7 linked regions of the Nothobranchius furzeri genome follow. The protein of the gene in region 7 purifies or fractionates together with the protein of the main gene of each other region. This does not show direct contact. Links are inferred from orthologs where the notes say so. Each region holds a gene or a part of one and is shown on either strand. Other genes may lie near its edges. The genes, in order: ssrp1a, adnp2b, kpna2, numa1, ehmt2, sap18 and chd4b.

Region 1 (3,817 bases), on a different chromosome or scaffold from region 7:
AGTCAGGAGAAGGTAGGGCTCAGAGATAGAGAGGCAGAAAAAAAAAGAGTAAAAGTACAAACGCTGCATGAGTCAAAGCCTAAAAAGAAGCTGTGGCGGTGGAAAATTAATCAGAACACAGTCGTAGGTCAGCTGCTAGGGAGTACAGGAGTTGAATGTAATCCATCCAGCCCCTCCACACAGGCCCTGACAATCAGATCGTTTATTTATCCTGCAGGTCCGCCGCAGCTTACAACTGGAGAGGACTCACAACCAACGACAACCACACACACCCCTACATTCGCAATAGTACAAACACATATGGAACTGATTGTGGCGTGCAAATGCAAGGGCAGAATGAGACTGGAAACTCATGTACGCACCTGGATTTCTGCCATTTCATAAGGTTATTGAAGCCAATATATGAATATATGAGAGAGAGAGAGAGAGAGAGTGTGTGAGAGGGTGAGAGTTTGTTTAATCAGCTTGTTTGTTGACCTGGACTATGGAGTTGTTTAGACAGGATAATGTGTGTGAACGGATGTAAAAACATACCATCAGTTTGTTTTGTGGAGCATGTTTTATACTAACACACACACACACACACACACACACACACACACACACACACACACACACACACACACACACACACACACACACACACACACACACACACACACACACACACACACACACACACACACACACACACAGTGATTTGTCCTACATTTATCAGGAATTAAAAGTTTTCTTTAACTATTTTGCTGCTTCAGCTAAGTTACCATTAATAGTGAAATCATTAGGAAACGTAGTCTATATACTGGAGATTATTTCTAAGTTTTGGATATTTTTGGGTGTTGAAAAATGAAACTTTTGACTCAAATCTAAAAAAAAATAAATGTTGTTTTTCTTTAAAAACAAAAACAAATAGCCTGATTTTACAAGTGTTTTGCTCTTTGAAATGTCCAACAGCTTTTACTGGTTCTGAATTTCCTTAGTCTGATTATTCATCAACACAGCTGTCAAACTGGGAGAACATGAAGGATATCTGAAGCCAAAGCAGTGATGAGGGTAAAACTCCAGCTGTGGTAAGGGAACCCAACCCCACTGAGATACTTCAGACTCACCGTGTAAATATCTATGATCTGGCTACGTTTTAAAAACCATCACTGTTGCTCTGAAGCGACTCAGGACCTTTCCTGTTTGGCACAAAGCTACAGAGCCCCGGCTGATCCAACATCTGGCTGGTTCTGGTGGATCTCACAGATGCACAATCAGTGTAGGAAGGTGGGAGCCTGGAGGCAGGATCCTCACATGTTCCAGAGTTCTGGCTAAATTAGGAAGTTTGATCTCTAACAATGTTAGAAGAGCATTTTCCCACAAACAGAACAGAGAATCTGAAATCCTCTCGCTGGTCTAAGGCTGAGCCTTGAACAAGTAAACACCTCCGGATGCTCTCAAATACTCAGGCAGGGATTCACATCTTCCTCAAGGACAATTTATTAGACCAGATGAATCAAAATGTCAGCCTTCTGCCAGTTCTCCATTACCGTCGCTAACTGGAGGATAATAAACAATGACTTCACAGCCTGGGCTTTGGGACGAGAGGATCCATCTCCCCTCATAAATAAGCTGATTAACCCCCAGAGACACACTCCTCAGGTTAAACACACACCTCCATCCCTGTATCTCACTAGTGTGTTGATTTTTCCTCTGCGCTCAGAGGAAATTTAAAAAAAATGCAATAATACAAATTTCTCTTGGTCTGTTTTGGGAGCCAATTTGTTTTAGTGGGCTGATATAAACACGGGCTCAGAAGAGCCGATGATTGCACTGTTTATAGAACACACACGCTGGCTCCGGTTCCCCTCATTAATCCCATTAGGGCCTTTGAGCAGAACGCCATTCACACACACACACACACACCAGAGAAACCTCAGAGGAAATGTCAGATGGAGCGGGGCTCCTCCTGCTCGTGTTACACTCCCCGTCATACAGCAGCAGAACTCACCGTGTCCCTGAAGCCGTCGTACTTGTAGACGTGACCCGTGCTGGTGCCCAGTTTGATGCCGTGACCCAAACACACCCGTCTCCACTGAGCCAGGTTGAGCTCTCCTGCAGCGATGTTGTCCACCTTCCCTGTCTTGTTGCTCTTATAAACCACGTTCTGTTTGCTGAAACGCAGCCGTCCGTCATTCTGCAGAGACGAGATGAGACATGATGGGTTCATGAGTCCAGAAAAAGCATTTCCAAATGCTTATCTGTAAGCTAGTAATGCCACTGTATAAACGGTATACGGATGATAAATTTAGCCACTGGTAAAGATTTTGACTAACAGCCAAGTACGATCGCACATGAATGTCATCAAGCTGCAGCAGCACGGTGCGGGTGGATAAAGACAGGCTCAAAATAAGGATAGGACTGGACGCCGACTGATGTGGTTTTTTTAAGGCCGATGCAGATACCGATTTTTAAAGAATTTTGTTGCCGATATCTAAAGCAGATTATATATATATGTATATATATATATATACATTTTAGCAGCACATTGATTGTGAAAGACAACTGAACACTCACAAGCCACGTTTACATGTGCGCAATTAATCAGACTGAACGCCCAATCAAATCAAAATTTCTGCATGTAAACATGTCAACCGGAACGTTCTGATCCGATTCGGCCCGATCGGTATGAAATTTCAATCCTATTGAGAGAGGTGGTTTTGTCCAATCATCATTCCGATTGGCGTGCATGTACACAGCCATTCGGACTGTTGGGAGTAAAATAATGCCCACTGCGCATGTGAGCAACAGCTAGCGAGCCTCCCCGTCGTCATTTGGACTAACTGACTTTTAAAATGACGACCTAATTAACGAGCGCCAGCTTTTAAAATGGATGGCAAGCCGTCCCTGTTTCAGTAATATCTAATCCAGAACTTGCATTTTGTGGAAGCAAAGTAAAAATCTGATTATTGCAGTAAAGACTGTCCCGGAAACACCAGATTCATTTCAGGTTTGCAGCACAGATCCCTGTTTCCGTGACCGCAGCAGCCGTTTCTGCAGCAGGTGGATGAAGACGTGATCGTAAAGAAGACAGGGTAACAACGGTTAATCAGACCTGGTTTGAGTAGTTAAGTAGAAAAACATCCTCAGTTCAATATTCTGGGCGACTATCTGTGTAAAAGCACGTTAACGCAGATGAGATGCGGTTCGTTTAACACATGATGAACACAGGCTTACAAACTTCTGAACATCTCCTGTTATTTAGTTTGAACCAACTTTTCACAACAGTTTCAGCCGATTGTCACATTTTATTAATAATAAACCACAACAGAGCTCAGTAATAAAACACGAGTCTTATTATCATGATAAGAGTCAGAAATTTCGACAACGATAAATTTTAGATTTATTGCCCAGCCCTACTCAAAACATAAAAAAACTGTTAGGGTTCTTTGGGTCCTTTCTTCAGTCTAGTAGTGGCAGCAGTCGGGCACACCTGATTTATTTATTTATTTGTTTTAATCGGCTTTTAAAAATAATTTCGGCCGATATAGAAAAAACTTGAAATTATCGGTCCGATCTATCGGTCAGCCTCTAGATGGGACAATGTTGGTTATACAGACCTGGTCTGGGTTGGATGTTGAGCAGAAAAGCATCCTCAGTAAAACATGCTGGCTTAACGAGCTTTTATCTCCGTTAATAGCTCGCTCAACAAAGTTCCCTTTAATGCCATTTGATTTTCTTTAACACATAATGAACACACAGGCTTTCAAACCTTTTGGACATCTCCTGTGTTTTAGTTTGAACAATTTTTCCTCCACAGTTTCAAAGATTTCTC
Region 2 (4,582 bases), on a different chromosome or scaffold from region 7:
AACAATATTTATATACTTTCAAATGTATTTTCGATGTCTTGAGGTGTGTATGTACTACAGTTTTAACTGGATCTTTTTCATTTATATTTAGATTTTATTTTGGGAAAGATTATTGTCTTAAAAAAGCTATTTTATAATTATCCCCTTAAAATAATATTTTGGCTTTTCCCAAAATAGCATTTTTTCTCAAAATTCTTGACTTTATTATGGCAACACAATCTAATGTTATTTAATATTATTTGATTGTTTTTCTCTCATCGTTCTGATTTTTATCTCAACATTTTGTCCTTTTTTTTCCTTCCTGACAAAGGGGCAGCCATTTTCTGATTGTTCTGATGCAACATGGAAGTGAAAATTGTTGCAGTTCCACTCTCATCCACTAGGGGCTGGCACCAGAAAGGAGCAAATTCTCATAGACTCCCATGTTAAAAATGCCTACTTCACAGCAGAAATAAAAATGTTTCCTGAGTGGTTCAAAAAACATTTTAAGTTTAATAGATCCAGTTTACATGCATGACAACTCTGGAGGGGGGTTGTAAATATTTATTGATTTATTGACGCTAATTTTAGCCAAAATTGTATTTTTTAGCTTGTTTTATTGAATATTTTAGTGTTGTTCTTATTGAAGCTGCTTTGAGAGATGTTGCTTTTATGTTGTTTATGGCATCACGTCAGTAGAGGCCTTCGTAACCTCTTCATGTTCTGCATGATGACAATAAAGAATTCATTCATTCAGTCAACTCTTCCGTTTAGGTGTAATTAAATGCTTGAAATGAGGAATAATTAGATTCAACTGTTATAGCTTGCGTTAGCGGCTAGCTCCGGGAAAGCTGATCTATCGCAGTCGATGGTCTTTGAGGTCACCGCCAGACTCTCCCCCTTCAGCAGCGGCAGCCATACGATCAAAAATCTGAGAATCTTACGCTCCAGCCTCCTCGAGGGAGCTACGTGAGGCAGGCGACCAGCTGCTGCCATCACCTGGGGCTGCCGAGCCGTTTCTGGCTAAAAGCGTCCGAAAACCTCCATTAGCTTCAGGTTAGCTTCGGGTTTGCTCAGGCAGTTCGTAGCTACCACCTTTGGCACCAAGCTCCATGTAGTTTCAGGTTAGCTTGTAGCTACATTGGTTCAGAGGTCATGGGTGTCAATCATTAGCTCCCACCCTCACTGCCCCACCTCTTTTCCCATTTTTGGATTGTCTGGGTGTGATGACACGTGCGACACAGCCAAGATGGCGGCAATCAGAACCACCCATTTGTCTTCAAAATAGCCCAACAGAAATATATGGGTGGAGTTTGTCCATTTTTTTTATAGTCATTGTTTCGTGACCCTAATACGCTGTTGTAACTGGTAGCTAAAACCAGGAAGAAGAAGAAATCAGGAACATTGACATACATAACTGTCTTTTAAATTGCCATGTGACAATTAAAAATAAAAAAGGATTGTTTTGGAATAAAGGTTAGCTGAACTGGAAACTGCGGGAACTGTTTCAATAAAATGTTTGTTTGCGGTGAATCGTTCATTAATAATGTAATCAAAATAATCTTTCTACACACAGGGCCCACATGTAACTTGTTACACCCAGTTTGTGTAAACGGTGAAATTATAAACAATACCAGATTTTTTTTTAATCAGCATAATAGCCACAAAAAACATTTAAAACCATCTGTAATATGCAAAAAAATAAAAGACTGTTTGTATTTACGAGGTAAAATTGGGGAAAAAACAGTCAGACACAAATAATACCAATTCCTGGGGATCATTTTTCAAAATAAAAGCATACCTTTAAGAAGGTTTGGCAGTCCTCTAAGCCAATCTCACTTAAGATGTTTTTCACTGCTCTGCGTCCCTTTCGAATCTTCTCGACATTTCCAACTGGAAGCTGATACATGATTCTCACACACTTAAAGAGAAAGAAAAGAACAACTTTAGATGAACATTTGAAGTTGTTCATTTCACCTCATTTACTAGAGGAAAATATGACCAATATTCAACAGGTTATTTGCCAATTTGAAAGTCCACCAAAGCTATATCGCCAGGTAGCCTAAACAAATTATAATTATTAATATTTATACTGGTCCATGAACTCACCATCACTAAGTTTTCACTTGGTTTAGCAATAACACATTTGCAATGTTGGTGTTTATACTTTATCAGAAAAAAATTGTATCAATTACAGTGCAAGATAAATCAGAATAAGCCCATATTTGCATCAGAGATCAATATCAGCATCAAAACTCTGAATTTTTGCATCTCTAACTTTAACATAAGCCATGTTGCAATTTTCCCCAACATGGTCTAAGTGTAAAATAAAATGTTGATTTCTACTTTTTATTGCTGCTTCAAATACATCAAATTATCTGGTGCAGCTCAAAATAAACAGGATTTTGTAATTAATGTTGAATTAGCAGGTTTATTTAAATGATCAGATTTCTAAAGTGGATGTTAATTAATACGAATTAAAAAATAATTAAAATACTTAATTACTGCAAAAAAGGCAAATAATAATTACTGTGGGAAAAAACTGAAAGAATCCGTATGGTTTTGGTGAACGGATACCTAAACTGCGATCGATGCTAAAATTAAAAAAAAAAATGTGTGTGTGTGTGTGTGTGAGCCACTAAAGTAAGAAGCCCCTCCTGACAGCGTTACAGGATGCGGGGTCATTGAGGCGGTCACAGCGCATCTTCCTGCGTGAGGATTCTCCACAGCCTCCTTACCTCGTTGGATCTTCAGCGCTGATTAACGTTCGTCGTCGCTGTGCCACCGGCAGTGGAGCTAACGATCACCGCTTGCTTCCACTGGCCCGCCTGTGTGAGTCGGTGTGCTGCGTCTGCTCCCAGCGCCGCGCACCACACACTTACCGGAGCGCCACCCTCCCGTATACACCGTTGCGTCAACACCGGAGTCCAACGCGAACCGTAATGATAGCAAACGAACTCCGGTGATAAGTTAGTTTTTTTTTTTTTTTTTTTTGCTCTTAGCTTTTGTCCCTTTCTTCCCCTGTTGAGGAAAAAATGGCGCTCAAGTTCAGGATCTGACGTAGGCGGCCTTATTTGCATACAGCACAAACTGACCAATGGGAGACTTCTGCCCCAAAACTAATATAACTTCTTTAATTATTTCACTGTAACTTCCAACATTGTTCAGAGATAGCCAAACAGTGCGTTGTATGATTTAACCTTTAAATTTAATCTCATATCGGAACTCTTTTATTGACTTTATGGATTCTATGAGGAATAGCTACTTAGGGGGCGTGGTTACACCGACCTCTACTGGCAGTCACGTGGTACATGGCCAAGCCAAACCAATCAGTTGTCGAGAAAATGAGCTAATGGGTGGTCCTTATGAGCTGATGTCACATCTTGCTACTTTTTTTAGCCAATCATGTTAGCCCATGATTTAAACAATAGACTGATATGTTAGATGTGTTTTTGCTAGCATAACATAAAGGCCATAACTTTTTAATAACTTTGCCTATTCAAACATTCTTTCTCGCTATCGACACTTGACAATTTTTAATTAATTGCGATTCGATTTTTAAAAAGTTATGACAATTTTTAACAATCGACAGTCATATTCTGACATTGCCGTCTAGAAAATGTTTACGCTACCTGAGTTCATGTAGGTCATTAATTGATCTTTTACCCAAAAAAAGACGACATTAACAACGAATCAATAATTAACGTAGGTAAATTTTACGTTTTTCTCCGATAAATGCTTCCATGTGGTGGAGTGTTGAGCCACTTCTTTTGTTACCAATTATGGCCAAACAATGACTACTGAATCCTTTTATTATTTTGCATTCATACCACCTGGTGCCATGCCTCACGATGACAAAATGACTCATGTTATTTTTATACCCTTACATAATTTCAGTGGCTATCTCACGTGTTTGTATTGTACCAACATAATTTAGAGTTTTTACCAATGGCGTCACTTCCACCATTGTGGCTTCTTGCACACCAAGACGATGCTGATTAGAAGAGGCAGAAGAGATAAAGCTGAGAAAATATCCTTGGCAAAATAAAAGAACTGAAAACAAGCAGACTTCTTTTGAGCCACTGAGTCAAAACAGTCAGATGTTTACCAATCAATGTGCAAATGCTTTAGAGTGAACACAGTATGACTCACCATTTATATTTGAACGTGGAATTCTTGTGGGTTGCATGGGAAGGCAGTTGGTGCTGCCTTGCAATGAGAAAGTTGCACGTTTGAATTCAGGCTTTGGCCTTCCTGGATGAGGTTAGCATGTTTTCCTCATGAACGCCTTTCTGCCACATGTTAAAAAGTTGCATGTCTATGGGGGACTCCACTGTCCCCAGGTGGACTGGAGACGTGTCCTCTGCCTCTCTCACCTGATGTTAGGCACCAGCTCCCCGTGGCCCTACTGAGAAATAAGCGATTCAGATAGCGATTATATGCTGCTCTTTTCCTGGTTGACTAATATTGTCAGTGTTATCAGACATAACTCAATTTGATCAATTTGCAAAAAAACTTTGATTTCTCTGTGATTTTTCTTTAACAGAAATAGACTTTTTTTCATCTTTTTTAATGTGATCAGCAGTTTTTTTTATTTCTTTAC
Region 3 (4,340 bases), on a different chromosome or scaffold from region 7:
TTTTTTTCACTTGCAGCCTCTGAAAAGGCAGCAGCCATTTAAACCAAATATTAAGTTTTTATATTTAAAATCCGTCATCAAAACCACTTCAGCCTAGGTGTTGCAGGGTAGCTTGTAGCACACACACACACAGCCCATAACAAGCATCATAAACTTTATTTACAAGTGTGTAGAGGTTAAAACCGTACATTAGATACAGGAAAACAGCAGAAGAACACAAACATAGGACACAGGTACAGTAAACAGAAAAAAGGGTCATCTAGAAGTTGAAAGTGCTTTGGTTTTCACTGATCTGGAATGCAAACCCTTCCTCTGTAGCTTCAGGAGCCACACACAGCACCTCCTCCTCCTAAAACAAAAACACACGAGTCCATGAGACAAACAAACATTTAACTGGTCACACCTTCACTGCCACACTCACCTCTTCAGAGAAATACTTCTCAATCAGGTTGAGGGCAGCTTTGTAGATCATCTCGTTCTCGTGAGACTGCAGCGCCTCGATCTTGTCCAGTCCGCCGCATTCTTCGATCATCAGACTCAGCTTGTCGGCCTCTCCGATTTTATCCCCAGCCTGACGAATCCGACAGACAAGTTTCAGGACCGTGAAGCCACACACGAGAAATCAGCTGATCCAGTCCATTCACACATGTGCTCACCATGAAAATATTAGTTATTGCGTCCAAGATGACGAGGACCGTTTTGCTGTCCTTGGAGGAGAGCAGATTCAGAAGAGGCTCGAGAACATTGACCTGCACCAGATACACCACCTGCTGAACAGTGCCCCCACTGGTGAAGTTTGTAACTGCCCACACCGCTTCTTTTTGAGTTTTGTAGTCACCCTGGAGAAGCAAAAATAAAAATATATTTCTAAACTGTTAGAAGAAAAATAAAGTTTACTCAACAATCTTGTGACACGACGACATACCTGAACGAGCATTTCCACCATGTATGGAACGAGGCCTGCGTCGATGACCTCCTGGATCTGCGTGTCCTTCCCAGCTGTGATGTTGGACAGAGTCCAGGCTGCCTCCTTCTGGATGTTGGGCTTCTTGTGGCGCAGCAGGTGAGGGAACATGGTCAGCGCCTTGGCGTCCAGCACCGCTTGAGTCTGCTCGTCTGTGCCGGTGACGATGTTTCCGATGGCACGCAGCGCCGGAGTCTGGGGGAGGATGATCCATTAACAACCGGGTCCAAGTTGTGTCTCAGTGCAAGGACACGAGGTTTAAGACGGCTGAAGCCCACAGAAACCATACTTGCCAGAAAAGTTACTTACAACTATAGACAGCGCCTCAAAGCCGAGCAGATTCACCAGGCGAGGAATCAGCCCCGTCTGGACCACCACCTCGATACGGTCGTTGGAGCCGTCAGTCAGGTAGGACACGGCCCAGCATGCATCAGCAAGCACCTCCAGGTCATTGTGATGCAGGAGACGAATGAGAGCAGGTAGGAGCTGTTCGATTGCACTCATCGGAGGAGAAGGATTCTTGTTACGGCACAGGTTTGAAATAGTCCAAGTCACATTCCTCAGGTAGCCAGGCTACAGAGAACAGAAGAGCAGGTGTCAGACTAAAGGGGTGAATTATTTTATTGGGTTAGGACACCACCTAGTGGCGGGAGGGATTAACGATTACAGGAATGCGACCATTTCCCAAATGGAGTTCTTGGAAAATGTAAAATCCGAGAAGACTTACACTAAAGACAGTCCAGTCAGGAACTTCCAGCAGCCTGAGTAAAGGTGCCACAGCACCGTGCTTAATTACCATATCTCTGAGAGCAGATCCATCACCTATACAAATAAAAAAATTTAAGTTATTTAGGTTAAAAAAAAACTTGCCTAAAGAATAACTCTGCACTTACCTGCAATGTTTCCAAGAGCCCAGACTGCCTGCTCGCTGATGTGCTGGTGGGGGGATAGGACCAGGTTAATGAAGGCAGGAATGGCCCCACCCTCCACAACAGCAGCCGTCTGATCCGATGTGCCAGAGGCGATGTTCGTCAGAGCCCAGGACGCCTCAAACTGGATAGGAGGACAGTCCGTCAGGCCGAGGAAGGCCACGAACTTGGATATCAGACCAACGCTGATCATCTGATCAATGGGAGGGCGCTTGTCTCGTGACAGAAGTTTCCTGATGACAGAACATCACGGTTGAAGTTACTGCATCAATACTGGTTTACTTTGGAATTTGCAACGTTAAAAAAAAAGACTGTTACCGTGCAGCCTGGGTGGCTTGAAGCTGAGACTCCAGATTACCGCTGTTCACCCCAGTAACGATCTCCTCCACGGTCCATTGTCTTAAATTCTGCTAATGGGGCAAAAGTGGGTCATAATTTAGTGGAAAAAGTTAAGAAACAGGGCTCAAAATCAAAGTACGAGGCTCGGGGTTTGCAACTTTCACCAGATACTGGGACTATTCACCCCCCTACAGCTTAAGATGCAGACCACGTCCTTAACGAATGACACCTGAAGTCTCACCTGGCCGTTCTGAGTTCTTTCCTGGAGAGGAGAAGTGGCCTCTTCCGGTTCTGTGCACACGTTCCTCCTTTTGAAGATCTGGTCGTCTTTCTTGGCTTTTCGAAGCTCGACGTTCACCTCAGCCCTCCTGCGCCGAAGCTCCTGCGTCAGATTCAAACGAATTCAAGTTCAACACAAGTCTGCGCATTCTACCCCGATCACTGACGCTGGGTGCAGCGAGTCTTACGTTAACGTCTTTGCCTTTGTTCTTGAATTTGTTCAGACGTGCGACGTTCTCGGACATTTTCAAGCTAGTGGACTTGAGTAGATGCAAAGTTGGTTCAATTCCTGCGGAAACACGTTTATTTCACACGAAGGTTAATCGATTTGCTCCGAGCTGCCTCGTGACACCATGAGCCGTCAGAAACCGCCGAGCGCTTTACTTCCTGTTTGAAATTAGTTCATTGCTAGTTAATTAAAATAGTGAAATCACGGCTTGGACAGACGAAACAGAAGGGGAAGAAATCGTAAACACGTTTCAAACTTTCCGAATGAGCAGCAAGACCTCACTCACCTGGACTGGAACAGTTGTGATATGGAGAAAATACCGCACAGACCTTTAAATTCCTACTAGACTCGCCTCTGATTGGCCCGTTCGAGCCCAAACGTCGAGCCCTGAGCGTTCATTGGACTGTTCAAAAATTTCATAACACGCACCGGAAATGTCGTTACGTTACGAGAATATCGCGAGACTTATATAACAGCGCTTGTTGGGTTAGATTGTAGTGTTAAAAATAAATCTTTTCACTCTTGTAGGCTAGAAAATAAATGTCCAACACACCAAAGTTAGCGAAAGCCAAAAACTAAATCTAATTTAAAACGGAGCAGCAAACTTTTACTAAAGTCGAGTGAGGTTTTTTTTTAATATTTAAAGAGCAAGTAACCTCTAAATTAACTTTTTTTGCTGATAAACTGTATAAATGAGTGTCTAATAGTGTTTTAAATGTGTGTATTCATTTTTTATAATTTTTTTCTCAGAATTATGAGAAACCAAGTCAGGATTCTGAGATTAAAGTCAGAATCGGTTTCTGTTTGAGACAGCAGGGGAAAATAATGTATAAATAATTCAGATTACATTTAGGCACACACAATTAAGCAAATCTGACACATTTATAGTAATTATGTAAATATATATTGTAATTTTGAGATTTTTTAGTCAGGGATGGAGATTCCTATGGACGAGCTGAGAGTGATGCAGTGTAGTTCAGATATTTTTCATTTGTAACACAAAAAAATCAAGTCAAGAACTGATGAATTTTTTATTTCATTTTTATACAAAAAGGGCAGGAACCTTCAAATACATAATTTTCATACTTCTCAGTCACTACTGCAAATTCACTTACAATAGCCTTTTACCATATTTTCAGTAGGATATATAGAAGTTTAACCAAGATGACTACTGATGTCCAAATATTTAGTAAACTTTCTTTCATGCCACCTCAGACTAAAAAGATAAGTGGAAATGAGTGGCGGGGAAGATAGTCGTCTGAATTCAGACGAATCTCATGGTACATGATGCTCAGTAAAGCTCAGCCATTGTACATCAGTCTTGAAGTTTCTGTTATGAGCTGACATGAAGACCACAAGAAAGGCCTGAGGATTTTTTTTACAAAAAAAAAAAAGGGTTAAAAGAAAATTACACGGAATCGAGAGCTCAGCTCCAGAAGTAAACTTTATCTGAAGTGCCTCCGCTGTCCTCGCACCACCTCCTCCCAAGTGCAGAGCTTCTTATGAAGACAGGTCCCGAGACGCCCGCCTTGCAGCTGAAAACGTGCAGAGGGCAGCTCTGTCTGAAAAACGCCGTGAAAGCAGCAGTGCTGGTTGACTC
Region 4 (3,817 bases), on a different chromosome or scaffold from region 7:
CAGACCAAGGAGGACCAGCTGGTCTCCCTAAAGGAAGAGAGCTCCTCACATTCTGACGAGCTGCAGCAAGAAATCCAGAATCTGCAACAACAGGTGGTTCTGATGGGGGAATCTCTCAGGACCACTGAGGAAAAGGTTCAGACTCAACTAGCTTTGCTAAACGAGCAGGAGCAGGAGAACGCTCACCAGAAGGAGCTTCTACAGCAACACTTGTCTACTTCTGAAGAGCAGGTAAAGAACCTGAAAAACGAGATCCAGACCAAAGAACAACAGATGACCTTGATACAAAATCAAAGCTCAGAGCAAGCAGAAGAGTTACACCAGGAGATCAAAGAAGTGAAGGAAGAGGTTGAAAGTCTTCGTTCCTCTCTGAGAGCAGCTGAAGAAAGCTTACGATCCAAGGAAGAGCAGTTTGCAGAGCAGCAGCTACAGAGCTGTCAGCACCTGGAGGCCCTGCAGATTGAGGTGAACCGATTGAAGCAAGAGATCCAGACCAAAGAACATGAAGCTGATCTGTTAAAATCTGATCACTGTAAGGAGACAGAAGTCCTCAGTGAGGAGATCAAAGCTCTTAAAAATCAAGTACACAGTTTGATGGAGTCTCTGAAAACTGCCACAGAAGAACGGCAGATTCATGAGAACCTGTTGGCTCAGAAGGACATGGAAATGTCTCAGGTGAAGGACTCGTTTAAAAGTAAGATCGAAATCTCAGAGCAAGAGATCAGAAGACTTGGAGAAGAGATCCAGACCAAGGAGGACCAGCTGGTCTCCCTAAAGGAAGAGAGCTCCTCACATTCTGACGAGCTGCAGCAAGAAATCAAAACACTTTCTCAAAGACTCAAAGCTAAAGAGCAGGAGTTAGATGACACCCAGCAGGAATCGTCTCAAAAGATGAACTCCTTCGAGCAGCAGCTTCTGTCAGTAAACATGGAGCTGACACAAGTCAAAGAGACGCTAGCAGCAAACCAGAGAATGAAGGAGGCAGTGCAGGAGTTACATGTTTCCTCATTAAAGCAGAAGGAAGTAGTTGTTCAGGAAAAGGAAACACTTTTGGTCAGGATCCACCAGGCTGAGACCGATCGGAAGGCTCTGGAGAAACGGGTCGAAACCCTAATCGCTGAGAAGGACAGGCTTGCTCGAGCCAACGAGGCCATGGAGAGGGAAAACAAAACCTCATGCAAACTGGAATTGGTGCTGCAGAAGGAGCTTGAAATCCTAAAAAGAGAGAGAGAGCAACTTTTGATGGAAAGAGAAAAGGCTGAAGAAACTGAGTTGGCGATGAGAGACCTGGAGAAACGGCTTGCTGCTAGATCAGAGGCTGCTGAACATTATAAGACTCAGGTTGGTTCAAACACAAATCTAGTCTTGGCCCCAGTTTTAAAACCAGAATTGTGTTCACTCTTGTTTTAAATGGTGTAGTGAGTTTTTTTAACTGATTATTGCAGTGAATGTGTTTGTTTTTCCACAGATGGAGAAAGCAGTCAGCCATTATAACAACAAGAAACAGCTTCTTCAGAAAAGTGAGGAGGAAACGGCGGAGCTCAGACGTGCTTTAGAGGTGAAGAACCATGAAGTTAATGCCATCACCATGGACAAAAGACTGCTCCAAGCTGATCTAGACAAGGTCCAGACCAATGAGAAGAAACTTTTGAGTACAGTGGCCAGTTTAGAGACACAGGTTTGTTGTGTATTTAAAAGAAAAACAAGCAATGCCTCTAAGGTTACTGTTAGAATGAAAAAGCTGCTGAATTTCAGTCTCTATGGCAACATTTCTGTCTTTAGTTGGCCTATGCTGACCAGACGCTTCGGGCACAAAATAGGATTCATGGCAGTGAGGCTGGCTCGTCTAAAGAGTCGTTTTACTTGGCGGTTCCCACCATTCGCTCGGGTGTTTCCACCAGATCGCAGATGAAGAGGAGCATGAGTTGTGACAGCCTTGGTGAAAGCTCCCTGGAAGACACTCTGAACTCTACAAGGTAATGTCTGGGTCATCAGGTGTGCTTTTAGTTCAGGTAGCTACACATCAAGACTGAATGATCAAATAAGGAATGACTTTAAAAAAAAAATTGGTAACTCTTCCTTTTACAGTCCCTTAATTACCACACTTGCATGGTAATTACACGGTAAGTAAAAGTGTAATATTGTTTCTGAGTTCTTAAACGGTTATCATGTAACTCGAGTTCAGTTCTAATTTTTATTAATCATTCCCAGTAAATGCGGCTTCACACAGTAATTACACTTTTTTTTACAATTATACACTTTAATTACACAATAATACACTTTAACTATCTATGTAATTACAATGTAAGTACTTAGAGGACTGTAAAAGAAAGTGTTACCAAAAAATGTAATACAAATAACAAATTCTTTCTATTTTTAATCATCTTTACAAGATTGGATCAATTATTATTTTTTATTAAATGGCACAAATCATTTGGGTAGAAGACACTTAACAGCTGACTGATCCTGTGTGATGATTTGTTTTTGGGGATTATGGGAGAATTAATGATTATCTTTCACTTTTCTTAAACATTACAGGAAGCTGTCAGCACCCGAGGAGTCGAGCACGCCACTCGTCCGCAGCTCAGAGCGTCTAGCAGCCAAACGCAAAGGTCCTCAGTCTGAGTCGCAGGAAAGCTTGTACTTTACTCCCATTAACACCAGACAGACCAGAAGGTATGCTGTGAGGATGTCCGATGACACGATTGGCTTCGACTTCTTTTTGCACAAAGAACTGCTGCTCCACAGATGTTTTATACTTTTCGTTTCTGTTTTGGACTTTTCTGATGATATAAAGAACTTTTAGCATTAGAAAAATATATTTTCAGGTCAGATTTGAAATAAATTCTATATAAAGAAACAAAAAAGAAGCTGTGTCCCAAACAAACATTTTTCATTTATTGTAAACATTAATGGATTTTTGTCACCGTAGCTTGTCTCTTGTTTATCTCCCATCACCTAGGGGCAGTTTAAGTTCTGACACGGTTCTGGAGTCGGCTCAGAAAAACCCGGCATCATCTGCCAAACGACGCCGGACCACCCAAGTTGTAAACATCACCATGAGCAAGGTGGATGATTCGTTGATATACAGTCAGTTGTTTAAAGCACGGAGGCCTCATGTTGGAACGTTTGTGCTGTGGTTTGTAGAAGATGCCAGGTTCTTCTGAGGAAAGTGAGACGTTGGGTTCTGGCTGCTCTGTTGCCCACTCTGCTCGATCCCTGTCTATGGAGGCTTTTGACACGCCTCATGGTAAGTCCAGTGCTGCTAGTGACCAGCTCATCGGTCTTCCGGGGTACAGACGGAGCACCATTCATTCACAGAGTAAGTTTGTCCCTGGACTTCTTATCATTTATAATAAATGCATTATTTCTGCCTTTTTATTTAGTTTCCTTTTAAAGAAAGTTAGAACTATGTGGTATCGTCTGTGTTATTTGATAAAAAGCTTGACTTTGATTTTCCTGCATCCTTTTCCCTTCAGCCGCTGGAACGTTCTGTGTTGGAGCAGAAAACGAACCAGACGGTGGTCCTGATGACTGGCTGAGGATCGCAGAGCTCCAGGCCAGAAACAAGGCCTGTCTCCCACACCTAAAGAGCAGCTACCCTGTAGAGTTTGAGGTGAGGAGAGAGAAAAACCTGTTGGTTCAGAGGATGCTAATTAGATTTTTACATCAAATCTTTATTCACGTGAAACTCCTCCCATGTTTATGTCTAAAGACTAGAGGGACTGGCGGATTCGTTTTCACTGACGAGGAGCTCCGCACCGGGGACCCGTCTGACACGATCAGACGGGCATCGATGATGCCAGGCCAGCTGCAG
Region 5 (3,817 bases), on a different chromosome or scaffold from region 7:
TCTAGTCAATCAGAGCAATTCCACTATTGCGGCCGTGCTCCGGCCGTGCTCCGGCAGTGCGGCGCCCTCTGTTCCGGCGTCCGGCAAAAATAGAATCGATCCTATTTTTGCCGGACGCCGGAGCACCTCCGCAGTCAATGGACAGAAATCACAAACGCCCAACAGGAAAAGGAGCGAGCACAACTTCCGTTTTTCACAATAAATTGATAAACAAAAGGCGTTTTTTGTTTCATATGCACAGGTTTAACAACTTTTAACAACTATCAGTGGCAGCTGAAGTTTAAATGCACAAAAGTAAGCCATAAATACAGTTTCTACTATCAAAGTAGTCACACTTTGTTGATCCAAACACTGCTGATCTCTCAACACAAATGATGGGCAGATTAAACAGTTCATTTTGATGCTTCTCCCACACAACGGGTGTTTGGATCTAACTTCCGCGTTTATTGCTCGGACTGTATCGCAAGATCTCGAAAATCCTGCGCATGCTTGTTTGCCCACCTCAGGTCTCCGCACCGGAGCGGAGCCGTTGTAGAGCGGGTACCAGTAAAAATTGAGTTCGGAAGCGAGCGGCTGCGGAAGGCGGGGGCGGACCGGACCGGAGCGGAGCGGAGGTAGTGGAATTTGGGGGTAAAAGGCTAGGTTATCCAGAGTTAGCTCTGTAGTTATGCTGCTATAGGCTTAGACTGCTGGAGGACACACTGACCACTTTCCACACTCGACTACTTTCTTCTACAATCTGCTCTTTAACTGTATTATTTCCTGCTGTTTCAGCTGTTAACTTTATTTTCTCTCTAAGTGTTTTTCTCCCCAGAAGAAGCTACATCGATGTTCTGCTGAGCTGTGGTGCCCTCATGGAGGGGGCCATCGTCTAGCACACTGCTGCTAACCACTTAAACATTCTCCCTCTCCTGATAATAACATTTTACTTTCTTTGACATAGAATGTGCTACTACTAGTTTACCCGTTTAATTATAGAATCACTAGGATCACAATGTAACCATGGAAACATTACTTGGTGTGTGTGTGTGTGTGTGTGTGTGTGTGTGTGTGTGTGTGTGTGTGTGTCTGCTCTATCTTCTTGATCCCCAGTGAGTCGTGGAGGATGGCTGCTTATACTGAGCCAGGATCCTCTGGAGGTTTCTTCCTGTTAAAAGGGAGTTTTCTTCTCCACTGTCGCTGCATGCTTGCTTAGTATGAGGATCGCTGTAGCGTCAGTGACTCAATGCAATTAGCTGGGTTCCTTATATAGGAAACTTTTTTCTGATTGGCTTAATGAACTGGGGACTCATTTATCAAACATTGAGTAGAATCCTTACTAAAACCGTACTTAAGCTCAGCAAAAAAAAAAAAAAAAAGTACTTACACCAAGTAGGTTTGTGATCTATCAAACATGGAGTACGCACAGCTGCACGCAATCTCTGCTCCATAAATCGGAAACTATCTACAAATGTTCTCAGCTGCTTTTTGGTCACATCCCGCCCTCATCACACCCACTTACTGCCATAAATATTCAATGCAAAGTGCCTTGTGGATCTCATGCATATACATAAGCCGGCTTGTTGCAGTGCTCCGCCAATGACATGGCGACCGTAGATCAAGGCAGACCAAGGAAGCCCAATTTCACAAGTAGAAGTTGAGGTGGCGAAATGAAAGGAAGTGCTTTTGCAAAACAAATAAGAGAAAATCCACGGAGTGGCACAGTGTTGCTGAAGCCGTCAAGAAGAAGGAGAAAATATCATTTCTATAGCGCCTTTCAAGATAAAAATCACGAGGAGCTTAATGATGAGTTCCTGTGGCGGATATAAAAAAATGATCCAAACAGGAGTCGATCCCGACTCCCGAGTGAAAGTCACACGCGCTAACCAGTCAGCCAAACAGTAATCTCTCTTGTCCAAGTAGCCAGGGCACATGATCAATCTTATCACAGTGACGAGACACACACACTGTCACAGACGCACGACATTCTGCCTCAATCTGTCCCCCTGCTGATATTCTGCATTCCGTATTCTGCACTTCAGGCTGTGTGTGTGTGCGCGAGCTCGTGTGTGCACGCGCATGTGTGTGCATGTGGGGTGTCTTGTTCTGTGTGAAAACGAAGCAGTACAAGTGATAATAATGCAGGATTTCATAATTTTATCCTTCTCAGCAGCAGCACTGCAGGTGCTCTCCATGTCCAACATGTGCGTAAGCCAGGTCCTTAGTCAACTTAAAGTTGCGCACATTTTTCCGCTAAGTTTTCCTTCATAAATCCCAAAGTTTGCGTGGAAAGTTGCTTACGCAGTTTTCCGACCCCGTTTTGTGCGTAAGCAAGCTTGATAAATGAGGCCCCTGGCCTGTGTTGGAATGCTTTATTATGTGAAGTGCCTTGAGACAACTCTTGTGATTTGGCGCTGTATAAATAAACTTGAATTGAATTTTCTAACAATTGCTCCAACAGTTGATCTATTTTCACCAACCTGCCCAGCAATTGCCCCGTACCTCTTTCCAGCCTTATGGAGGTCCACAACTTTGTCTCTGGTGTCTTTTGACAGCTCTTTGGTCTTGCCCATGGTTAGTAGTTGGGAGTCTGACTGACTGACTGTGAGGTGGACAGATGTGCTTAAGAAGCTTAGACAGGTGATGCCAGTTTAGATTAATATGTGGAGTAGAGGTGGACTTTGAAGTTAGAGTAAAATGTCTTTGAGCCAGAATTCTGCCGATTCCTCAGGTGTTCAAATGCTTACGGCCCCCCCCCAGTAAATCAAACACGAAGACATCAACTTACCACAGTTTGGCCTTTTTCTGAAACGCTGTCGCCCTTCTCAGATTTACTCTCTGATACATGACCCAGTTTTCTCTTTCTAGCAGCTGGTGGAAACAGAAAAACAACACAAAGCGTGACAGTTATAAGAGAAAAAAAAGCCTTTTTAGTTTTTTAAACAGTCAAACTTACATGGAAAACAAGATTTCAGGAGCATTTTCTGAGTTTTAAAAGACATGTTGGTGTTGCAACGATGTGTTTAAGAGATATAGCCGAATCAGGAGGCAAAGATTGGCTCATTCTGCCATGCAACACCTGAGCAGAGTGGTGCCAACTGAGACTTCTGCATGAAAACTAGTTTTCTGATTCAACCAAAAGCTGCAGGTCGGTACGAACAATCCAAAAACCAGCTGAAGTGATCGGCGTACATTGAATTAATTTAAAAACCACACAGTAGAAGAGGACCTGTAATTACGAGTGCTGGAGAACAATCGGAGGAGTAAATATGATCGAAGTTTAGAACTTACCTGTTTCAGAGTCAGTAGAGAAGCAGGTGGAGGAACCCGACGTAGCAGGAGTCTCAGCGTAACTCACCTGTCGAATAAAAAAATGCTAACCTTTCAGAAAAAGTAAAACAACAAACAATTGTGGGAATAAAAATGTGTAACAGAAGTCATTACTTGGCCGGGTGAAGGCCTGTTCATGGTCTTACGGGCCCGGTGGATCTTGTGTGGACTCGGGGAGACAGAAGGTGTCAACGAAGCTGAGCCAGATGAAGAGGAAGAGGAGGAGGAAGAAGAGGAGGAGGAGGAGGAGGAGGAGGAGGATGAAGAAGAGGAAGAGGAGGAAGGGCCAGGTGGGAGGACGGATTTACAAGAAGACGGCCCGGAAACGCTCATCTTTGCCCGACCAGGGGAAAAAAATGAAGAGGTGGAAGGATAAGATGACATTGAGGAAATGGACTTTGCTGCGTGACCTGTTAAGAAGAGATACAAACTGTTACTGAAGATGAAAAAACATGTTACTAAAGATTAAACTAAGCGATCACTACGTTAAAAAAACAGTCAAATTTTA
Region 6 (4,017 bases), on a different chromosome or scaffold from region 7:
GTTGTTTCTAAATAATTAAACCTTAAATGACCACTACGTTGCTAGCTCAGTGTGCGGCAGCGCGCATGCGTTGTCGGAGTTGAGTATTTCCGGTTGTGCTTTCCAAAATAAGAGCTAACAACGAATTCACATCTGAAACAAGTGTCTTATTACGTCACAGGATGGATGCTACTCTGAAGGAACGAACTGGTTTAGTAAAGGAAGTGTATGGAGAGGCCAGGAAAAAGGGGACCTTTGCCATTGTCTCTTTTTCAAATACCCACATTTGAGTTTGTTGAAGCATACGTCCATTACTTTAAGCTTGTAGACACCAAAGAGCTTGAAATAACGTTATCCGTGGTCTATCTTTTTCTTTAAAATGACTTAATACCAGCTCAGTGGTCTAGTGGTAGTGTGTCCGCCCTGTCTGGAATTCGGGGTTCAAATCCCAGTCGTGTCACACCAAAGACTTTAAGAATGGGACCCAATGCCTCCTTGCTTGACACTCAACTTTAAAATGGTTGGATTGGGGGTTAAACCACCAACTGGTTCCTGAGCACAGCCATAATTACAGCTCACCCATCCCTATGGCGATGGGTCAAATGTGGAGATGGCACCTTAACTTAAATACATAGTTTATATAACGAAACAGAGAAGTCTCTATACAAATTTGCAAAAAAAAAAAAAAAAAAAACTTTTTAAATTAAGGATTATCATTCAAGTGAGTTTGGTATGTTTGATCAAAACTGGTCTGTTTTTGCAAATTAACTCTTCACAAACACACATTATTGATATTAACTACTCAACAACAGTCTATAGGGAAAAAACAGCTTTATTAAACATGAAGAATTATAAAATGAGGCTAAACTACTCAAGAGAACCCAAAAACAGATGTATCGCTTCATGTGCGTTCAGAAGGGCCTCATGCGTTGGTTGAGGGGCGGGGCTCTGTTGGGCGGTGTGATGGCTATGTCCAAATAGTCTCCAATCTGGAACCGCTGGGACTGCAGCGTCATGGAGTCTTCCAAACCCTTCCTGCCAGACATGGTACTGCCGATCTCTTTTAACCTGAACATTGTAAAAAGAGATGCACAAACTCAGTCCACAGGAATTCATGAACAATAGTATGATTTTACGACCCCGATCTGTGTTGCTCGACACTTACTTGTACATTTTCCCTCTGGGTTCTGGATAGACTATGGCAAAGCTGAAGTGGGTCCCCTTTTTCCTGGCCTCTGGATACACTTCCTTCACTAAACCAGTTAGTTCCTTCAGAGTAGCATCCATCCTGTGATGTAAACAAACACTTGTTTCAGAGGTTCTGTAGCATATACCAGAAACGTAATGGTTTGTAAGTCTTACCAAGTGTAGATTTGCAACTCGCTGGAAGGAACGTTCCCTCTAGAAAATTCCTCTATTCTGTGGTGTCGGCCACTGTTGGTAGTAAATACTCTCAGGAGGAGGGGGCAGGTCTGAAGGAAACAAGAAAACTAAGTTAAACATAAGCAAAAGTACAAATAAATATCACATTCTTTACATGTGATTTAAATATATGAACACATTTAGAATAACTGATGTAAATGTCAGTGTTATTTCAATGATTCAACTGGATTTTTTTTTTACATAAACCTTATTTTGAAAGTTTTCATCAGGGCAAAGTGAGTTCCGAAGTGAGTCTTCGCTGCCCCCTGGTGGCCGTAATAAGTACCTACAGCTGATAGAAAGAAATGGCTTTTTAAGATTGCCATCTGGTTCCTGATTAAGAAATTTAGTGAACTTTTCTGCAACCTTTTAATGCACATGTGGGAAAAATGTTTTTATTAGGCTGAACCCAAAAACAGAAATTACAATTTTTTTACAGAATAAGAAAAGTTATCTTAAACTATATTTGAAATATGATTGCCCTTTTCTATTAAGCATTTCTTATTGTAAAATATTTATTTATATCAATTCTTTATTATTGTAAATTATCCAATAGAAACTTATTTGTTTTCGCAGGTATAAGTCTACAGCAAATAAAATCAATTTATAATTCACAAATATCCGTTATTTTTTCTTATGGTCAACCCTTTTTCTCCTGCTAAACGTAAATAATAGACAATTACATCTACCTTCGTTTATTTATTTAACAGTTTTATTTGTGTTTCTGCTGTTTATTACTCTTGTGCTTGCGCGTTAAAAAGCACAAATAAAAATACTTGCTTTTTTTAAGTTTATTTATCTGCCTTAAGAACAATAAAAATGCAGGCTTAAAAGTATTATTTTCAACTTTCAAATGTAACCATGTTTATCTGTTCAGGGAAAACCGACTCATTTACAATACTGAAAACATTTAGAGGTCTTTTCATGTAAAGCGTTGCTAGCATTAGCTTATTAGCATGCTAGACGGTGCCGTCGAGATAAATCATACACAATTTTAATTTATTTAGTTCAAATAAAACATTTACGACACAGAATTGAGAACGGCTACATTAAATAGCTGTAAATGACCGTTTTAAAACACTTTTTAAGCTTTTACTCCTCCCGACTGCCGTTTTAGTGTTTAAAACCAGCTAACAAGGTTAGCTAGAAGCACACAACACGATGAGCGAGTTACTGAACATTATCCAAACATTAACCTTTTCCCGGTCGATGGGCTTTTCGGGCTCCTTCTTAATTTCCTCCTGAGTGATCCGCGACTCAAGGGCCATTTTTGTTTAACACAGTTAAAATGTTATTAAGCTGTCTGGCTGCAACTTGCGTCTTTCAGCGATGATATTTTTACGGCAACATGAACATAACGTAAAGCGTAGGCTTTTCCGGTCACGTGAAAGTAAGGCAAGTTATTCACGTTACTCCGTTTTTAGGTTATTTTTTAAACACAGCAAAGGTTTTCTTTACCTCCTGGAGAAGCGATCGAAACTGTTAACATGGCAAAAATAAAAAAAATCCTGTGTTTTAAAAATAACTTTAAAAAGCGTTTAGAAGAAAAACACAGCATGAATTTACAGGGATGGCAAGTTATTGTTTTACATAAGCAAACCGCTCTCTCAAGTTTCAGTGACAGACTCATTAGTATTCTCTGTTGGCACTTCTCACCAAAAAGAATATAAACTAGAATACATAAATTTCTGAAACTGAACTCAGCACACTACACTTTAATCTGAATAGTGACTTCAATTCAGAAGATTGTTAGAACATTGAACATTACACACGGCAAGAACAGGGCGAATAAAAACAACTCTTGCTGCCTACACAAGACTAATTCAAATATCAAAATGTACGAATTTAAGGTAAAATTCTTATTAGAAAATAGAAAATGAGAAATGAGATTTATATGCTATATTGGGTTGCCAAAACCATAGCGTGAAGTACCGGTAGTTACATTACCATCTGATGGCCAAAACCCAAATTGTCCTATGAAATGAGCCGAAAAAATGTATTGAGTTTATCCAGGATTCCTGGTTATTTTGCATTCAAACTCCGTTGAAATATAATCATTTACGTCTTTTAATTTCACTTAGCTTGGTTTCTTTCTGCATATTCACTATAGAGTAATGCGATTTGAAGTTCTCTGACTCAGAAAAGCGCTATATACAGTAAGTGTGAGTTATTTATCATTTGTACACTGCACGGCCCAAAACAATAAGTCACCACCAAATTAAAAGTTCCCAGACTCTAATATTTTGTTGGACTGTCTTTAGCTTTGATTACGACATGTATTTACTGTGGCATTGTTTCTGCACAAGAATTATTTCCATCCAGTGTTGAATTGAAGTTTCACAAAGATCTTGCATTGATGATGGTAGAGTCAGACCGCTGCACAAAGCCTTCTCCAACACATCCTAAAGATTCTCAATGGGGTTAAGGTCTGGACTCTGTGGTGACCAATCCATGTGTGAAAATGATGTCTCATGCTCCCTGAACCTCTCTTTCACTATCTGAGCCCGATGAACCCTGGCATTGTCATCTTGGAATATGCCCGTGCCAACAGGGAAGAAGGAATGACCTGGTCATTCAGTATATTCAGGTAGTCAGCTGACCTCATTCTTGGAGCAC
Region 7 (3,817 bases):
GAAGATAAAATCCAACCATTTCAGCTGATTAAACTCTTCTTCAGAAAGTCTGGACAAGGATTCTGTACCTCTCACAGACTACAATACATTTTGGGTTTTAAACATTATTTAAAGTTCAGACTAGATGAGAAAAAAAGTCACTCCTTCACAACTGTGGATTAAACTCCCCGCTAGCTACACAGAAACACTGGGCATTAGTGTTAACAGTCCAGGGGGGGATCAGGACTCAAGAGACTACCTGGATGGTGAGGAGTGGGCCTTTGTAATGCAGTAACAACCTACAGGGAGCCCAGGTCTCCTCCCATTCCAGTCGGCTCACGGGTCCCCGGAAGAACGAAAAAAAATGAATGCAAGTCAACGGGGCTAAGAGCTATTGTCTCATCCGCTTTGCCTTACGCCCTGGATCGCACATATGTTAAACTTCAATTTAAATGAAAAGTAATGGTGTGTTTCAGCCACGCTAGTCACGTACGTTGAGATTTATCAGCTTGACTACAAATCAGACGTCGCATAAATGACGTCACCACAGAATCTCCTCTCCCCTAGCGTAGCTGCTACTTACCAAATGGCCAGATTTATGGTGGATCTTTCCCCCCGGAGGAAGGATTTGAAGATTGCTGAACTTAAAACCACTTTACCTCTGCTTTACTCCATGTCTGGATTGATGACATCAATTTGGTGATGCGCATTTGTAGTCCTTGATGTATTTCACACAAACCCTAAAATAACTTTTGCCCTTTTTTGAAAATAAGCTCTTTCTTGGCATCAGAATGCATCTTTAAAATTCACTGACATCATATGTGAAATCCATGGCACATGCTAAACGGGATTAGAAAATAGCATTTTTAGCCCCGTTGACTTGCATTCATTTTTTTCATTCTTCCGGGGACCCGTGGTCCGGAAGTAGATGGGCGTCACTTAGGCTCCCTATTATAGCTGAAAAAAATGGCTCAGCAAAAATTTGCAGAGCTGAAGGGAAGAAGCAGCCGAGACAGGAAAACGCAAGTGTCAAACAAAAACCTGTACAGGGGGTATTTTTCATGAGGAAATAATAAAACATGGACAAAAGCTCCAAAAAGTGGACTTTGCATAATATAGGACCTTTAAAAAGTAAATTGACCTGTGGTGTATATAGTTTACTAGTGATGACATCACAGATCTGTTCTTTTGAAGTCCATGAGAACCTTGTGCTTTCTTTATTAACCACACCTTTATGGAGCACCGCGTTGGCAGGCTTGTTTCCAGACATGGACTCCTTGCTGAGGTGCTGATGGGACTCGGCGAGACACTCTACCTCACTGAAGCGAGTGTTGAGGGCCATGGAGGGGTGGGCCGGGTCCTCTGTCATGTTCAGGTAGGCCGCCCTACGCAGCTGCTCCTCGATCACCAAAGCCTGCTCCAGCAACTTCAGGAAGCCACGGACAGACCAAAATTAACCAGTGAGACATGACGCAAGCAGACACGCACACAGCTGGATTCTGCAGAACCGAGGCGCCGGATTCACCTTGAACCTGCGAGCCAGAAACTTGTTCTTGATTTCCAGGAAGTTTCCTCTGCTCATCTCTCCTTTGAAGGGCTCGTTGATAATAGCAAACCTCACATCGTTCTGCACATCCTGCCATCGAGCGTACCCGTGTCTGAGACAACACTGTCAAGGACAACAGCGCTGCTATTTCTGGACTCCAGAGACAAAACATTCCAGGTGATGTCATGTCTCACAACCCGGTAGCTTACTTTCTAAAGGAGCAAAAACAAGGTCGCATGCGAATCGTTTACTCTTTTTCCTTTGAGACCCTTTTTATCAAACTGCTGTAGCTTGTAAGTAAAACTAACTTGTAAACTTAAACCCACAGCTCGTTTAGGATGTTAATCTGTAAGGAAATGATAAAAATGACCACCCCATCAGTTAGAAAAGATACTGTATGATTCCAGCCAACAGCCAGTAGTCATGACGACGGTGCCAGATCTCATAGGTCTTCTTCGTGACAGTGGCGGCCCTCTCTTCGTTCTGCCACAGGGAGTGGAGCTCTGAGTGGGAGGGCAGAAAGGTCAGAACAGAGGTCAACGGCGTTGAAACGAGGAGAGAAAGGAAAGCGTGTTCACCTGTGAAGCCCCCGTCTGCGATGTTGAACATGAATCTCTGCTTGGTGGCTTTCTTCTTCTCTTCGCTGATGTTAACCGCAGCTGCTCCTCCATCTTTGGCATTCTCTCCATTCTGCAGCTTTCCGGGCTCCTCTGTTTTCACGCCGTCCTTCTCCTCCTTTGGATCTGCAACGAAATGTTTCGTTTTGCAACGTTTCCTGGACCTTTAAGATGACCTTTACTATAATATTAACCATCTCACAGATTCAGTCGTGTGGAGAAAACTTTTATTCAAACATAAAGACGACCTAAACTTAGTCTGAACCTTTTCTCTCCTCTGGTGGTGAGGTGTCCATCTTCTCGTATTTGCCGTCCTCAGCTGAAAGAAGAGAAATGGAGACTGGCATAAGGCCATTATTCTGAGAATAACATGATATAGATGTATTTTATCTAGTTTATTGCAATTCCATCATAACATCTGTTAATTTGTTAGATTTAAAGGTGCAATATGGGATAGGCTAGCTAGTCATCCTATAATCTGGACAAGACCCACACACAGAGCTCAGTTGTGGAGCAGAATCTATGGTTGTCTTCCAAGCCATCTCCGCACGAAGTGCTAGGACCAATCAGGGCAACAAACAACGTTTCTATGTTGTCCAGCCAGTGGTAGACCTGCTCAGGCTACAAAAAGTGTGGCTAAACTGACCTGAAGAGCAAAATCTTTTGCTACTGCTACGGTTTAGTACGAGATGCTTTTCTTTTTTATGCCATATTGGTTGAAATGCTCATCACATATTGATGCCAACTAATACATTAAATGTTTTGTTTATAAAAGTAATAATTTTAGCCACCCCTGAAACACACAATCTTGAAAAAACCTCACACAATTATTGTGAATGTCTCGTTTTTAATGATTGTATCATAACCTTCTCACCTTTACACTTGTCCTCTGAATCCATCCTTCCATCTGAACCTCCCCCCTTATTGTTTACAGAAGCAACCATCGCTGCTGAAGACTTCTCTTCTTTCTCTCTGCTCAGGTCTTCAGCTTCCTTCTCCTTTCCTTCCTCTCCATCCTCCTTGTCTTCCTTCTCCACAGCAGCATCTTTCTTGTTAACAACGGGGGACTTTTCAGACTCATCTGGGATTTCAATAATCTGAATAAGAGAAGTAAGTTTTGACATTAATTAAAACATTGTATCATTAATAAACATATTACAGTGGCACTAGGAAACACACACACACACCTCTGGATCATCTTTCTTAGCTTTGCTGTCCTCTCCCTCTTTCTTCATGTCATCTCGCTCATCTGATTTAGAAAAATCTTCTGAAAAAAAGCAAAAAATATTCAAGAGATGTATTTGGGTTTTTTTTTTCCACTTGTAAAAAGATTTTTACGATTTACATCTTAAAACAAGAACGTTTATAAAGTGCTCGATAATGCAGCTTTTCTGACTGCATCCACAAGAGGGCACCAGTCTGGTTAAAGCTCCTCTGAAAGACCAGAAGTCAAAAATACTGTTAGAAGTTTAAGTGAATGTGTCTAAAACTTTTGATTCGTCTTTTAGGCTCTCAGTGACAGTTAATGTTCGCACCTGGGATGGGGGTGTTGGGCTGCGTGTCTGCAGGAGTCCCAGTTGAAGGAGTTTTCGGGTCTTCGCCTGCAGCTAAAGCTGCCGCCCGTTTGTTCTCCTCCAGCTCCGCCATCCAGGGCATCGACCACTGACCGTTCACG

Evidence for each region.
Region 1: the proteins of chd4b (region 7) and ssrp1a purify together in Homo sapiens (affinity purification with mass spectrometry; 3 studies listed by BioGRID and IntAct, with this or other methods). This does not show direct contact. The link is inferred for Nothobranchius furzeri from reciprocal best matches to the Homo sapiens genes CHD4 and SSRP1.
Region 2: the proteins of chd4b (region 7) and adnp2b purify together in Homo sapiens (affinity purification with mass spectrometry; 3 studies listed by BioGRID and IntAct, with this or other methods). This does not show direct contact. The link is inferred for Nothobranchius furzeri from reciprocal best matches to the Homo sapiens genes CHD4 and ADNP2.
Region 3: the proteins of chd4b (region 7) and kpna2 purify together in Homo sapiens (affinity purification with mass spectrometry; 3 studies listed by BioGRID and IntAct, with this or other methods). This does not show direct contact. The link is inferred for Nothobranchius furzeri from reciprocal best matches to the Homo sapiens genes CHD4 and KPNA2.
Region 4: the proteins of chd4b (region 7) and numa1 purify together in Homo sapiens (affinity purification with mass spectrometry; 3 studies listed by BioGRID and IntAct, with this or other methods). This does not show direct contact. The link is inferred for Nothobranchius furzeri from reciprocal best matches to the Homo sapiens genes CHD4 and NUMA1.
Region 5: the proteins of chd4b (region 7) and ehmt2 purify together in Homo sapiens (affinity purification with western blotting; 3 studies listed by BioGRID and IntAct, with this or other methods). This does not show direct contact. The link is inferred for Nothobranchius furzeri from reciprocal best matches to the Homo sapiens genes CHD4 and EHMT2.
Region 6: the proteins of chd4b (region 7) and sap18 purify together in Homo sapiens (affinity purification with mass spectrometry; 3 studies listed by BioGRID, with this or other methods). This does not show direct contact. The link is inferred for Nothobranchius furzeri from reciprocal best matches to the Homo sapiens genes CHD4 and SAP18.

The regions. Positions count from the first base shown.
Region 1 is NC_091741.1:91,658,244-91,662,060, reverse strand, and holds part of ssrp1a (FACT complex subunit SSRP1a), read right to left. Parts: intron 2,180-3,817; coding exon 1,994-2,179; intron 1-1,993. UniProt on the Homo sapiens protein: Component of the FACT complex, a general chromatin factor that acts to reorganize nucleosomes. The FACT complex is involved in multiple processes that require DNA as a template such as mRNA elongation, DNA replication and DNA repair.
Region 2 is NC_091759.1:18,869,747-18,874,328, reverse strand, and holds the start of adnp2b (activity-dependent neuroprotector homeobox protein 2b), read right to left. Parts: upstream 2,942-4,582; 5' UTR 2,718-2,941; intron 1,901-2,717; 5' UTR 1,889-1,900; coding exon 1,781-1,888; intron 1-1,780. UniProt on the Homo sapiens protein: May be involved in transcriptional regulation. May play a role in neuronal function; perhaps involved in protection of brain tissues from oxidative stress. May be involved in erythroid differentiation.
Region 3 is NC_091752.1:67,643,588-67,647,927, forward strand, and holds kpna2 (importin subunit alpha-1), read right to left. Parts: upstream 3,111-4,340; 5' UTR 3,027-3,110; intron 2,801-3,026; 5' UTR 2,757-2,800; coding exon 2,700-2,756; intron 2,615-2,699; coding exon 2,474-2,614; intron 2,304-2,473; coding exon 2,212-2,303; intron 2,127-2,211; coding exon 1,858-2,126; intron 1,787-1,857; coding exon 1,692-1,786; intron 1,538-1,691; coding exon 1,274-1,537; intron 1,160-1,273; coding exon 926-1,159; intron 840-925; coding exon 657-839; intron 572-656; coding exon 422-571; intron 350-421; coding exon 260-349; 3' UTR 138-259; downstream 1-137.
Region 4 is NC_091753.1:34,154,971-34,158,787, forward strand, and holds part of numa1 (nuclear mitotic apparatus protein 1), read left to right. Parts: coding exon 1-1,341; intron 1,342-1,468; coding exon 1,469-1,678; intron 1,679-1,782; coding exon 1,783-1,976; intron 1,977-2,538; coding exon 2,539-2,676; intron 2,677-2,962; coding exon 2,963-3,068; intron 3,069-3,147; coding exon 3,148-3,322; intron 3,323-3,479; coding exon 3,480-3,616; intron 3,617-3,715; coding exon 3,716-3,817. UniProt on the Homo sapiens protein: Microtubule (MT)-binding protein that plays a role in the formation and maintenance of the spindle poles and the alignement and the segregation of chromosomes during mitotic cell division.
Region 5 is NC_091759.1:8,513,582-8,517,398, reverse strand, and holds part of ehmt2 (histone-lysine N-methyltransferase EHMT2), read right to left. Parts: intron 3,720-3,817; coding exon 3,424-3,719; intron 3,338-3,423; coding exon 3,271-3,337; intron 2,851-3,270; coding exon 2,768-2,850; intron 1-2,767. UniProt on the Homo sapiens protein: Histone methyltransferase that specifically mono- and dimethylates 'Lys-9' of histone H3 (H3K9me1 and H3K9me2, respectively) in euchromatin.
Region 6 is NC_091754.1:55,848,246-55,852,262, reverse strand, and holds sap18 (histone deacetylase complex subunit SAP18), read right to left. Parts: upstream 2,778-4,017; 5' UTR 2,670-2,777; coding exon 2,598-2,669; intron 1,452-2,597; coding exon 1,342-1,451; intron 1,268-1,341; coding exon 1,145-1,267; intron 1,048-1,144; coding exon 891-1,047; 3' UTR 794-890; downstream 1-793. UniProt on the Homo sapiens protein: Component of the SIN3-repressing complex. Enhances the ability of SIN3-HDAC1-mediated transcriptional repression. When tethered to the promoter, it can direct the formation of a repressive complex to core histone proteins.
Region 7 is NC_091745.1:73,997,048-74,000,864, forward strand, and holds part of chd4b (chromodomain-helicase-DNA-binding protein 4), read right to left. Parts: coding exon 3,678-3,817; intron 3,410-3,677; coding exon 3,330-3,409; intron 3,240-3,329; coding exon 3,017-3,239; intron 2,462-3,016; coding exon 2,408-2,461; intron 2,269-2,407; coding exon 2,104-2,268; intron 2,029-2,103; coding exon 1,920-2,028; intron 1,638-1,919; coding exon 1,505-1,637; intron 1,406-1,504; coding exon 1,210-1,405; intron 1-1,209. UniProt on the Homo sapiens protein: ATP-dependent chromatin-remodeling factor that binds and distorts nucleosomal DNA. Acts as a component of the histone deacetylase NuRD complex which participates in the remodeling of chromatin.